2 linked regions of the Macaca fascicularis genome follow. The protein of the gene in region 2 purifies or fractionates together with the protein of the main gene of each other region. This does not show direct contact. Links are inferred from orthologs where the notes say so. Each region holds a gene or a part of one and is shown on either strand. Other genes may lie near its edges.

What was found.
Region 1: the proteins of KRAS (region 2) and HSPD1 purify together in Homo sapiens (affinity purification with mass spectrometry; 3 studies listed by BioGRID and IntAct, with this or other methods). This does not show direct contact. The link is inferred for Macaca fascicularis from reciprocal best matches to the Homo sapiens genes KRAS and HSPD1.

The regions. Positions count from the first base shown.
Region 1 is NC_088386.1:93,114,217-93,121,308, forward strand, and holds the start of HSPD1 (60 kDa heat shock protein, mitochondrial), read right to left. Parts: upstream 4,884-7,092; 5' UTR 4,731-4,883; intron 4,660-4,730; exon of another isoform or gene 4,570-4,659; intron 4,412-4,569; exon of another isoform or gene 4,353-4,411; intron 3,424-4,352; 5' UTR 3,422-3,423; coding exon 3,248-3,421; intron 1,953-3,247; coding exon 1,700-1,952; intron 1-1,699. Other genes in the region: HSPE1 (10 kDa heat shock protein, mitochondrial), read left to right, coding at 5,027-5,029, 5,664-5,828. UniProt on the Homo sapiens protein: Chaperonin implicated in mitochondrial protein import and macromolecular assembly. Together with Hsp10, facilitates the correct folding of imported proteins.
Region 2 is NC_088385.1:27,946,015-27,952,649, forward strand, and holds part of KRAS (GTPase KRas), read right to left. Parts: intron 3,880-6,635; coding exon 3,701-3,879; intron 2,242-3,700; coding exon 2,082-2,241; intron 1-2,081. UniProt on the Homo sapiens protein: Ras proteins bind GDP/GTP and possess intrinsic GTPase activity. Plays an important role in the regulation of cell proliferation.

The sequences.
Region 1 (7,092 bases), on a different chromosome or scaffold from region 2:
GCCGAGACGGGTGGATCGCGAGGTCAGGAGATCGAGACCATCCTGGCTAACCCGGTGAAACCCCGTCTCTACTAAAAAATACAAAAAACTAGCCGGGCGAGGTGGCGGGCGCCTGTAGTCCCATCTGCTCGGGAGGCTGAGGCAGGAGAATGGCGTGAACCCGGGAGGCGGAGCTTGCAGTGAGCTGAGATCCGGCCACTGCACTCCAGCCTGGGCTACAGAGCGAGACTCCGTCTCAAAAAAAAAAAAAAAAAAAAAAAAAATTGCTTTTAGTGAAGTGTAGTCACTTGGTCCATAAACATTGAAATATATGAGGTAATGATACATTAGTATGCCAATTCTGACAAAAAATTATCAATAGCTCCCCCACCTTCACTCACAAGAGGGTTCCTGGTTTCAACCCTAACATACGCTGGATATACACAGCAATTCTGCTGATAGGAAAACCAAGTCTTAGCACACAGCTAATAAATGACAAAGATGGGACTAGAATTTAAGTCTACACTGCCATGAAGTTCATGCTGAGGAGCAAATCTGTTAATTAAGTTGCACTCCAGTTACAAGCACTAACAAAACACAAACCAATAACACGGTGTGTGCTATTAAGAAAAAATAAACTAATGGGCCGGGCGCGGTGGCTCATGCCTGTAATCCCAGCACTTTGGGAGGCCGAGGCAGGCAGATCACGAGGTCAGGAGATCGAGACCATCCTGGCTAACACGGTGAAACCTCATCTCTACTAAAAAATAAAGAAAATTAGCTGGGCATGGTGGTGGGCACCTGTAGTCCCAGCTACTCGGGAGGCTGAGGCAGGAGGTTCACTTGGGAGGCGTGAACCTGGGAGGCGGAGCTTGCAGTAAGCGTAGATCACGCCACAGTACTCCAGCCTGGGGGACAGAGCGAGACTGTCTCAAAAAAATAAAAAAAAATAAACTGAGGAAAACATTACTTTCTGCCGGGCGCGGTGGCTCAAGCCTGTAATCCCAGCACTTTGGGAGGCCGAGACGGGCGGATCACGAGGTCAGGAGATCGAGACCATCCTGGCTAACACCGTGAAACCCCGTCTCTACTAAAGAAATACAAAAAACTAGCCGGGCGAGGTGGCGGGCGCCTGTAGTCCCAGCTACTCTGGAGGCTGAGGCCGGAGAATGGCGTGAACCTGGGAGGCGGAGCTTGCAGTGAGCTGAGATCCGGCCACTGCACTCCAGCCTGGGCTACAGAGTGAGACTCCGTCTCAAAAAACAAAAAACAAAAAACAAAAAACATTACTTTCTGACATTCTGAATGATCCAGTGTATTCAATCTTACTTTCTACAAAACTAAACTAAAAATTAGCCAGGAATGGTGGTGAGTGCCTGTAGTAGTCCCAGCTACTTGGAGGCTGAAGCAGGAGGATTGCTTGAGTCCAGGAGTTCCAGTGCAGTCCAGCCTAGGCTACAGAGCAAGACCCTGTCTCTAAAAACAAAAGAAACCAACTAAGTAAAACATCAAAATTACCTAACAGTACCTACCCACCATACAGCCAGGCATTCAATCACTACTTGCTAAAGGAAAACCCAGTTTAAGATTTCTCCAGGCCAAGAGGAATGAGAGAAGGATCAATTTCCTAAAGTAACAGACACTCTCCTTAGCTCCAAGGAATCAATGCCTTAAAGCACACTGAAGTTTAGAACACTGTAGTGACAATAGACATTCCTACCTCTCCTGATTTCCACGGGATTAGCACCTTTGCTAATCTTCTCGAAGCCTTCCTTGGCTATAGAGCGTGCCAGTACAGTAGCAGTGGTAGTGCCATCCCCAGCCTCTTCATTTGTGTTATTGGCAACATCTTGAACAAGTTTAGCTCCAATGTTTTTATATTTATCCTTTAAGTCAATTGACTTTGCAACAGTCACACCATCTTTTGTTACTTTGGGACTTCCCCAGCTCTGCTCAATAATCACTGTTCTTCCCTACAAGAAAAAAAATGTAACAGGATCACACATACCCTAAGGATTACTTATATTTTAAAAAATGAGCAGTCTTCATAATAAAGCAACTACTTCAAAGTCTCCACATAAGTTGTGTCATTTTTATCAGTCTTGCAGCATGAATCTCAAGGGCAAGTTTATCGACATTCTTTGTCTACAGACAGAATGACCTGTTTCTCTGCCAAGAGCATAATTTTGAACTAAGTAATTTAGAAGATTAAAATACTAGGGACTAAAATTTGTCATCTTATAAAATGAACAAGAACACAAGACAAAGAATAAAACAATCTTCCTATCACTTATACCTAAGTTTTAGTTAGTGCCTGTTATCTTTTAAAGCAATGTGACTTGTTTTAAAATTCGTTTAAAATATTAACCATCAAGGCAAGTAGTGTGCTCTTCCAAGTTCACTCAACATACAACTTCAACCATGGCACAGTTATTGACCATCCTTTGGATTTGAACTAAAGCTGCTACTTTCTATTCGTGAGGTGTGCAAATGTTGTGTTTTATGCAGTTGTTTGGATCACTTGATATCTGAACTGTCTTCAAACTGAAATGAAGCACCACTTGACCGCACACCACCTTCAAAGCCCCCCTCAAAATATTACCCCTATTAAATGAGACTTATTTTAAATATGCTTCGGAACAAGAGAACAGCAGAAAACCGATAGGTAAAACTAGCATCTTGAGGTGGAGGAGAGAATGGGAAGCTACTGTATAATGAGTACAAAATTACAATTTTCCCATATAAAAAGTTTTGGAGATGGATGGTGGTGGTGACTGCACAACATAAATGTAATTAATGTCCCCATGTCCCCAAAGTGCACACTTAATGGTAATTTTATGTTGTGTACATTTTACAATAAACCAAAAAAAAAAAAAAAATTTAGCACCTACAAGCACATACCTGAGGGATTATGGAAGATAAGTTAAACTCTTCTCTCTACACTTGGCATGAACTACTCAGAAAGGATCCAAATTTTAACTTAGGCAAGCAAAATTCTACCTCGAGTTTAAGAATCCATCTTGAGCTATGTTACTACCCGATTACATCACACATTGAACAAACTAGTTTCGAAAATCTGGCTGAAGCAGTTTAAGCTTTAAGATCATGTCTAAGAAAAAAAAAGTTAACCAATACTTCAGAATTCTTACATGTAAACTGAGTTCTCAAAAATGGATACGAAAGTACTGTTCAACAGTTCAGTGCGACTATTTGTGAGCAAAATGCTATTAATACTACCATAATTATAATAAAATAAAAATACTGATACCTTTGGCCCCATTGTAACGGCCACAGCATCGGCTAAAAGGTCCACACCTTGAAGCATTAAGGCTCGGGCATCCGCACCAAATTTTACATCTTTGGCATAAGCCCGAGTGAGATGAGGAGCCAGTACTCTGGACACCGGTCTCATCTGGCGAAAGACTGTGGGTAACCGAAGCATTTCTGGGGATGGAAGCAAATAGATAATCAGTACTACCACCTATGATGCGCTGCAGCACAAACATGCGCACCTGTGCAACAGAGCAAGCAACGTGAGATGGTGAGCCTGGCTGACCTCTGCCAGCCACTACACCTGAATGACGGAAGGCGCCGCAGCTTCGGAACATCAGCCACTACCGCAAGCTAAAGAGCCGCCCCGGCGCCTGACCTATAGCACTAGCACAAAGCACATGCAGCTCCTTCCCCACGGCCACCTATCCCTGCCGCCAAAAACGAGTTAATCTTTCACCGCGAAAACGGCCTTGTGGGCAGACCCACTCCAACTGTGGCCCCTGAGAAACCAAGTCAGCCGGAGAGAGGCAAGTTACAAATCCCAGTGACCAGGGAAGCTGAAAGTATTCCTGGCGGTGCAAAAAGCAGCTCAGCAAAGTATCTCCATGGATCCACCCAAGGCTACTGTATCAGAGCAGCCAGCAAGGCCGCGATGCTGGGGGCGGCGGCCCGGCCCACTCGGCGCGGGCCCACGTCTTTCCGAACGCCCCCAGCAAGGTCAAGAGTGAAGGCGCGGTATCCCAGCTAGCTGCGGGGGAAAAAAGCGGTTCCCTCGCGTACACCACCCTCCCCGGTTCCCCGAAGTCGACCAGGCGCGGGTTGCACCAGCGGGCCTAAGTGGCTACAATCCCCCAAATTCAATCCCCGTGAGTTGTCCCTCCTGCGCCCAGCCGAGGTCCAGGATCCGCGTCGCACGTGATGGAACCCGCATGGACCCGGGAGGCCTGGACCCGGGAGGCCTGGACCCGTGGGCCTGGGCCTGCGGTGCGGTGCAGAACTCCAGGTTGTCGTCGCCCGCATCCTCCAGCAGGACCTCAGAGGAGGAAGGCCCACTTGGGGGTCGCAGGCGCCGGGGAAGGCGGCGTGGGAAGGCCGCATACCTGCGGGGCGGCGGCGGGGCGTGCGCGCGGCGAGACAAGTCGTCGGCGGCGAGTGAGGGACAGAGTGCAGGGCGCACACGGCAATGAGCCCGTGTCCCCTCCCTCCGCCTCTCCCCCCGCCCCGGGGCACCACGTGTGCAGGCAGCTCCCACCCCCTTCCCGTCAGCCGGGCCCCTGCAATCTGCACACCCTGCGCGCGAGCCCCGCCCCTCCCTACCCGCGCAGGGTGTGCTAGCGCGCTCAGCCCTCTCCCGCCGGCTTAGGCTAGTTCCCGGGCCGCGCTCAGTTCCAGAACTTTCCGGAAAGTGCCGCGCTCCCTACGGGTCAAGGGTAAAATCGCGTCATTTCCGGGAGGGGACGAAGGGGTAGTTCTTTCACCTCGGCTGGGCGCCTAGAAAAGCCTAGAAACAGCTCCTCTTTTCTTCCGCCTCCGAGTCTTCGCGTCAGCGGCCTGCGCAGGGCCCTTGGGGCGAATCGCGGCGCGCGTCGGGGCGACCGCCCTTTCTCGCGGGGAGGGGCGAGGGGGCTAGCGGCGGGGGTTGGGGCGAGCGCGCCTGCGCGCTGGGCGGTTTTTTCACGTGTCGCCAGGGCTGCGCCGCGAGTCTCTCCTTGCCGCGAGTCTCTCCTTGCGGCGCTACACTAGAGCAGAGTACGAGTCTGAGGCGGAGGGAGTCATGGTGAGTCCCGCGTGGCACCGAAGCCCGCAGGCCCGGGCCTGTCTGAGGCGTACGGGGATCACTGACGCCCCTCTTTTGTTGGGCTAGGCGGGAGGGATTGGTGGCCACTCAGTGACCAGCGCCCGCCGGCACCTTGGAGCGGCAAGGCCTGCCCGACCCTTTTCTTCTCCGGGGGCTCTTTGCACGCGCGTGTGCTGCGGGTGTGTAAGGCAGGTGGCGGGAACCCGGATGCAAGCGCAGCGTCCCACCTGCTCTGCAGGGCCTTTGTGGATGTGTAATATCTTGGGTAAAAAGCATGGTGCCAGGCAGGGAGATTGACCCAGCGTTTCTTGAAAATTTCTGGAAAACCCTGAAGAAGGAAAACATTTGACCTTGGATAAACTAAGGTTGACCTTAAAGCTGGTCTGGTTGCTCACCAGAGGAGCGACAACGACCCTTAACAGATGTAAGGAATCGGGAATTAAACTTGGAATATTGGTTAGTACATTCAAATGCGTTTCCTTAACGAATAAGCTGAGGTTTGGTGTTAACTTTCGAAGCCAAAACGTGTTGAGATGTATACAACACGGTGGCGTTGCCTGTTGATAATATGATTACATTTAGTTTTTGTTTCAAAACATTTCTCTTCCTACAGGCAGGACAAGCGTTTAGAAAGTTTCTTCCACTCTTTGACCGAGTATTGGTTGAAAGGAGTGCTGCTGAAACTGTAACCAAAGGAGGCATTATGCTTCCAGAAAAATCTCAAGGAAAAGTATTGCAAGCAACAGTAGTCGCTGTTGGATCGGGTTCTAAAGGAAAGGTAAATGGGGGCTGCGGTGGAACTATTTTTTCTATAGTGTGCAGTGGAGGGAAAAGGAGTAATTCTGGAGTATTAAAAGTCTCCTATTAGGTAGAATTTATGTCATGTCCAAGATAATTAACTGCTTTGGTTCTAATCTGTTTCTTAAAGGGAAATGACTAATATAAAGTTGCTTATTTTATATGACCAATGCTATGATGTTTATTTTATGTGATAGTTTCGAGTATTAAAAATTGTCTTCAATACGCCGGGCGCTGTGGCTCACGCCTGTAATCCCAACACTTTGGGAGGCCGAAGTGGGCGGATCACAAGGTCAGGAGTTCAAGACCAGCCTGACCAACATGGTGAAACCCTGTCTCTACTAAAGATAGAAAAATTAGCCGGGTGTGCTGGCATCCGCCTGTAATCCCAGCTACTGGGGAGGCTGAGGCAGGAGAATCATTTGAACCCTGGAGGCGGAGGTTGCAGGGAGCCGAGATCCCGCCACTGCATTCCAGCCTGTGCGACAGGGCAAGACTCCGTCTCAAAAAGAAAAAAGCCTTCAATAGCAATTTGGTAGCCTAGTATGATCAGTGTTTGCCTTACATTCTAAATTTTTAATAAGACAAAAGATGCTATGCATGGTGACTCACACCTATAATCCTTGCATTTTGGGAGGCCAAAGCAAGAGGATCATTTGAGCTCAGGAGTTCGAAACCAGTCTGGGCAACATAGTGAGACCTAGTATCTAAACAAATAAATAAATAAAGACAAAAGATGTGCTTCAAGGTAAAATGAGGGGGCATTTAAGAATTGAGAGGAGGCCGGGCGCGGTGGCTCAAGCCTGTAATCCCAGCACTTTGGGAGGCCGAGGCGGGCGGATCACAAGGTCAGGAGATCGAGACCACAGTGAAACCCCGTCTCTACTAAAAATACAAAAAATTAGCCGGGCGCGGTGGCGGGCGCTTGTAGTCCCAGCTACTCAGGAGGCTGAGGCAGGAGAATGGCGGGAACCCGGGAGGCGGAGCTTGCAGTGAGCCAAGATCGCGCCACTGCACTCCAGCCTGGGCAACAGCGTGAGACTCTGTCTCAAAAAAAAAAAAAAAAAAAAAAAAAGAATTGAGAGGAATCTTGGACTATTCGTTTAACCCCTAACACATTGACATTGCCCTAATCTTAACCAGTTGGGGCCTTAGTTGGTGTACCTATCCGAGGAACAGGTTGGTTAGTCTTGTCCAACCTGCAGCCCAGGACAGCTTTGAATGCCACCTAACACAAATCCCTA
Region 2 (6,635 bases):
AATATAACATATATATTAGCTGGATAATGATTTACATTTACATTTTTGCACCTTTATAAAATTTGATAAACTTCTAGAATGCTTGTTTTTATGTTTAACAACGTAAAAGTTGTTCATCAATTTTTTTTAACTCCTAGCATTACAGAAATTCTACAAAACTGGTTTTCTAGGCTCACAGGTAAATGTAACCAGAAAAAGCCCTAAACAAACTTATGGAATATAGATGGATCAATTTCTTAGTACAGTCATGTGCCACATGACATTTTGGTCAACAGTAGATTGCATATGTGATAGTGGTCCCATAAGATTATAATGGAGTTTAAAAGTTCCTATTGCCTAGTGATGTTATAGCCATCCTAACATTGTAGCACAACACATTACTCACGTGTTTGTGGTGATGCTGGTGTAAACAAACTTACCACACTGCCAGTTGTATAATGGTATAGCACCTACAATTATACACCATACTTAATATTTGATAATGGTAATAAGTGACTATTACTGGTTTATGTATTTACCATACTATTTATTGTTATTTTAGTGTACTCCTTCTATTTACTTAAAAAAAAAAAAGTTAACTATAAACAGCCTTGGATAGGTCCTTCAGGAGGTATTCCAAAAGTTATTATAGGAGATGACAGCTCCATGTGTGTTACTGCCCCTGAAGACCTTCCAGTGGGACAAGATGTGGAAGTGAAGACAATGATATTGATGGTCCTGACCCTGTGTAGGCCTAGGCTAATGTGCATGCATGTCTTAGTTTTTAACAAAAAGTTTAATGAGTAAAAAAAAATAAAAAATGTTAAATATGGAAAAAAACTTATTACAGAATAAGGATACAAAGAAAGAAAAATTTTGTATAGCTGTATAATGTGTGTTTTAAGCTGTATTACAAAAGTCAAAATGTTAGGAAAAATTTTAAAGTTTATTTTAAAAGTTACAGGAAAGTAAGGTTAATTTATTACTGAACAAGAAATTTAAAAAAAAAATAAACTTAGGGTAGCCCAAGTGTATATTTATACACACAAAATTTACCATTGTGTTAACAATTGCCTATAGTCATTACCACAGTTACACACCGTACAGATTTGTATCCCTGGGGCAAGAGACTGTACTATATATCCCAGGTGTATAGTAGGTTATACCACCAAGGTTTGTGTAAGTATACTCTATGATGTTTGCACAATGACAAAAATCACCTAACAATGTATTTCTTAGAAAGTATCCCTGTCATTAAGAGACATATGACTATATATAACAATTAATTCCTTCCTATCTTTATGTATTCATTTCCTGTATGTTAAACTCTTCATACAAACAGGTTAAATAACACTAACTGAAATTATTTTATTTTACCTAAAGAAAAAGTCATTTTTAAAACAAAGATGATTTTTGAAACAAAATTCCCTCTGACAACAATTTTTGGAAAATTTCATTAAATGAATAACAGAATTTCTATTTGCTTTCTGGGTATTTTCTTTCTTTAATGAGACCTTTCTCCAAAAATAAACATATCCTCAAAAAAATTCATTAAATGAATTTTTTTATTCATTTAATGTCAGAAAAATTCATTAAATGAATAACAGAATTTCTATTTGCTTTCTGGGTATTTTCTTTCTTTAATGAGACCTTTCTCCAAAAATAAACATATCCTCAAAAAAATTCTGCCAAAATAAAATTCTTCAAATGCAACAACATTTAACCTAGAAACACGACATAATGGTTTAAAAGTACTACTGAAATAGAAAATTCAAAAATGTGTTGCCTTGTTCTTTGTGTGTGTTTGTATATATACAAACACACAACAGTGGGGAAAAAAATCCCCACATCTCTTGAATTCTAAATGTTAACATGTGCTCAGAATTGAAGAGAAATTTTCAATGTAGAAAGAAACCAAAGCCAAAAGCAGTATCAAGGACACTGTAAGAAGCAATGCCCTCTCAAGAGACAAAAACATTTACTAAATACATATTGTTTTATTTCCTAGTATAGCATAATTGAGAGAAAAACTGATATATTAAACGACATAACAGTTAGGATTGTGCAGAAAATAGATCTGTATTTATTTCAGTGTTACTTACCTGTCTTGTCTTTGCTGATGTTTCAATAAAAGGAATTCCGTAACTTCTTGCTAAGTCCTGAGCCTGTTTTGTGTCTACTGTTCTAGAAGGCAAATCACATTTATTTCCTACTAGGACCATAGGTACATCTTCAGAGTCCTTAACTCTTTTAATTTGTTCTCTGGGAAAGAAAAAAAAGTTATAGCAGAGGCATTAGTAACACAAGTATCTTTCAAAACCTGTCCATAACTTTTGTCATAAAATTTGGGTGAAAGAAAACAATGTAATTCCTGGTTTCCACTATACCAAATTTTCCTTCCTTCCTTTACTAATTATTTTTTTCTTTACCTTTTTAAAGAGAAACCTTGTCTCTCTCTCACAAGATCAAATACCTAGAAGTATAGTAAAACTATAACCTAATAGGTTAATATGCAGGTAGATCATAATAGTAAAACAGAAACTACTGAAAAATTCTAGACCCAAAGTGCTATATAACAGACTATAATTTTAGAAACATATGTTAAATGCGTAAAGATAAAAAATATTTTTACAAAAACCTGAATTAAAGCATTAACATAATTTTCATATTACTGTCTCAAAAAACAAAGTTGACAAGTAGATTTTGATTTCTAGGTAGAAAACATTGAAGTTACTACACCACTTATTCCATTAAAAGCCCTTCTACATGTTAATCATTTTCAATATAACAAGTGCATAAACTCTAAATTTGGGGTGAAATTATATTCCCTCACAATTTTAGGTGACTTTCAAAGATGCAGCACAAAAGAAGGAGCAGAGCAGACAACAGAGTCAGAATTGGCTCAAATTCCCAGTTCCTCCACTATTAGCTGGGTAAGCTTGGATAATAGAGGTGAAATTTGGTAACTCCTCTATAAAAATACTACCACTACCACCCACCCGAATGTCTTCTGCTCTATTACTAGACTACACAGTAAACATGCTATAACAATGTTCTTAAATAAAATGTTAAACTTCTTATAACTAGGCTAACTCATTATTACATGACATAGCCAGTGAGTAATTTATTTGCCTAATATGTAGTTTTAGGAAAACTAAACCCTCAAAGAAGCAGAATATAAAATAGTACAATAATGATTATTTTAATAGTTTTATGCAGCTTTGTCAGATTTAAGAAAACTGTAATGCCCGAATTCTTCAATCTTTCAAAACTTTTATTTTTTAAAATGTATAATGCCACTCTTTATCCAATCCAAGCAATTCTACACTATACACACGATTGCTTTTAAGAATGTTAAAGTAACACCATCTCAAATCACCTTTTCATATTCTTTTTTATGGTTTTCCTTTTTAATGATGCATCTAAAAAGTTTAAAGTCTTGCTTTTTCAGTGTAGAAGAGTCAAGAGTACAGAAGGTTGTGGAGTCAAACAGGCCTAGGTTTGAATCCCAGCACACCACTACTGATGCAGTCTGGAGTAAGCTACTCCACTGCTCTAATCCCCCAAGAACTTCATTTATAAAGCAGGGATATTACCTACCTCACAAAAATTATTTTAATATTTTTATTAGATATTATACGCATGGCATTAGCAAAGACTCAATAAATAAAAACTATAATTACTCCTTAATGTCAACTTATTATATTCAATTTAAACCCACCTATAATGGTGAATATCTTCAAATGATTTAGTATTATTTATGGCAAATACACAAAGAAAGCCCTCCCCAGTCCTCATGTACTGGTCCCTCATTGCACTGTACTCCTCTTGACCTGCTGTGTCGAGAATATCCAAGAGACAGGTTTCTCCATCAATTACTACTTGCTTCCTGTAGGAATCCTGAGAAGGGAGAAACACAGTCTGGATTATTACAGTGCACCTTTTACTTTAAAAAAGGTGTTATATACAACTCAACAACAACAAAAAATCCAATTTAAAAACGGGCAAAGGACTTGCCAAAGACAATGCTCCAAAGATGACAGACAAATGGCCACTAAGCACCTAAAAAGCTGCTCAACATCATCAATCGTCAGGAAAATAAAATCAAAACCATGAGATGCTACCACATACCCATTAGAATTGGCTATTATTAAAAAACAAAACAAAAACACTCAAAAAACGGAAAATAAGTGTTAGCAAGGATACAGACACTGAAATCTTTGTGCATTGCTGGTGGGAATGTAAAATGGTGATGCCATTGTGGAAAACAGTGGTAGTTCCTCAAAAAGTCAAACACAGAATTACCATATGATCAGTAATTCCATTCCTAAATATATAATCAACAGAACCAAAAACAGGGACTCAAACAGATACCTGTACACCGATGTTCACAGCAGCACTATTTATAATACACAAAATGTAGAAATAACTTATGTGTCTGTTAACGGATGAATGGATAAACAAAATGTAGTATATACATACAGTGGAACATTATTCAGCCATAAAAAGGAATAAAATTTCATATAGGTTGAGCATTAATGCAGGTTAATCCAAAAATCTGAAATCCAAAATGCTCCAAAATCTGTAACTTTTAGAGCCTGACATGATGCTAAAAAGAAATACTCACTGGAGCATTTGATTTTGGATTTTTTTTTTCCTTCATCTTTTTTTTTTTTGGAGAGATAGGGTCTTACGTTGCTCAGGCTGGTGTTGAACTCATGGGCTCAAGCGAACCTCCTGCCTTGGCCACCCAAAATGGTGGGATTACAAGCATGAGCCACTGGGCTCCATCTGATTTTGGATTTTTGGATTAGGGATGCTGAACCAGTTAAGTATCTACAAATATTCCAAAATCAAAAAAAACAAAATCTGAAATCCAAACCACTTCTGGTCACAAGCATTTTGGGTAACGGATGCTTCAACCTGTATTTACATGCTACAACACAGATGAACCTTAAAAACATTATGCTAAATGAAATAAGTCAGACACAAAGGACAAATATCACATAATTCCAGTTATATGAGGAACCTAAAACAGGCAAATTCAAAAAGATGAAAAGTAGACTAGAGATTACCAGGGACTGGGGGAGGGAGGATTACTGGGGACTATTTAACAGGTATAGAATTCTAGTTTGGGATGATAAAAAAAGTTCTCAAAACAGATGGTGCTAATGGTTAGACAACATGGTGATGGTTGCACAACATTATGAACACACTTAAGGTCACTGAAGTGAACACTTAAAAATAACTACCATGGGCCGGGCGCATCACGAGGTCAGGAGATCAAGACCATCCTGGCCAACATGGTGAAACCCCGTCTCTACTAAAATACAAAAAATAGGCCTGGCGTGGTGGCATGTGCCTGTAGTCCCAGCTACTCAGGAGGCTGAGGCAGGGGAATTACTTGAGCCCGGGAGGTGGAGGCTGCAGTAAGAGATTGCTCTACTGCACTCCATCCTGGCAACAGAGCAAGACTCCGTCTTAAAAAACAAAACAAACAAACAAAAAACTACCATAGTAAATTTTATGTTATGTATATCTTACCACAAGAAAAAATGTTTTTAAGGTATTATATGGAGAGTCAACAATGCGAGTGTACATATTGGTAACAAAAAGTTATCGACAAAAGAAAATAATTTCAAAAATGGGATAGCTCTACCAACTCTATTATTGAAGATGATTTAAATGACAAGAAAAATCAATCAACTTATAAATAATTGTCATGCATCTATTTTATTTATTGTCAAAGGCATACATAAGGAAATGGTCAATACTCAAGATTCTAATGCCCTCATCCACCTCTGAAAACTGGAAAAAGGAATCTAACAGCCAGATGGATATCTCTAAAGAGCAATACTGTTTCATCTGCAAATCCTGAGGGACCTCTTTTTTTCTTTTCTAAAAAGAGAAAGAGAGAACTGTAACTATAAGATTGAGTAACAGAAGGGAGTGGGTAACATTAACAGAATCTTGAAATAAAAATCTGATTTTCTTCCGACTTTTGGCTAATACTTCTGCCTAAGATTTCACACATTCTGCCAAAACAGTCCTCAAAAAATACGGTAAAGGGATGTTACAATGTGAAGCCATGAAATAAGAGGTAGGGCTAACAACAGGTATAAAGCATAAACATAAAAACAATTATTTTCTTAATGTTCCACATGTGGGCTATAGTATTAATGTATCTTTTGTTGTTGTTGTTGTTGTTGTTGTTTTGAGATGGAGTCTCGCTCTGTTGCCTAGGCTGGAGTGCAGAGGCGCAATCTCGGCACACTACAACCTCTGCCTCCTGGGTTCAAGCAATTCTCCTGCCTCAGCCTCTTGAGTAGCTGGGATTCTAGGCGCATGCCACCACGTCCAGCTAATTTTTGTATTTTTTTTTTTTAGTAGAAATGGGGTTTCACCATGTTGGTCAGGCTGGTCTCTAACTCCTGACCTCATGATCCACACGCCTTGGCCTCCCAAAGTGCTGGGATTACTGGCATGAGCCACTGTGCCCAGCCTCTAAAGTATCTTTAGTTCATGAATTACTCTGTAGACCATTCTATCAGAGGCAGAAAAAGAGAAAGAAAGAATGGTCATTACAAATGTTGTTAGTAAAATATTTCAAAATGTTTACAGTATAAGGAGAACATAAAGATGTAAGTGCAGCATGA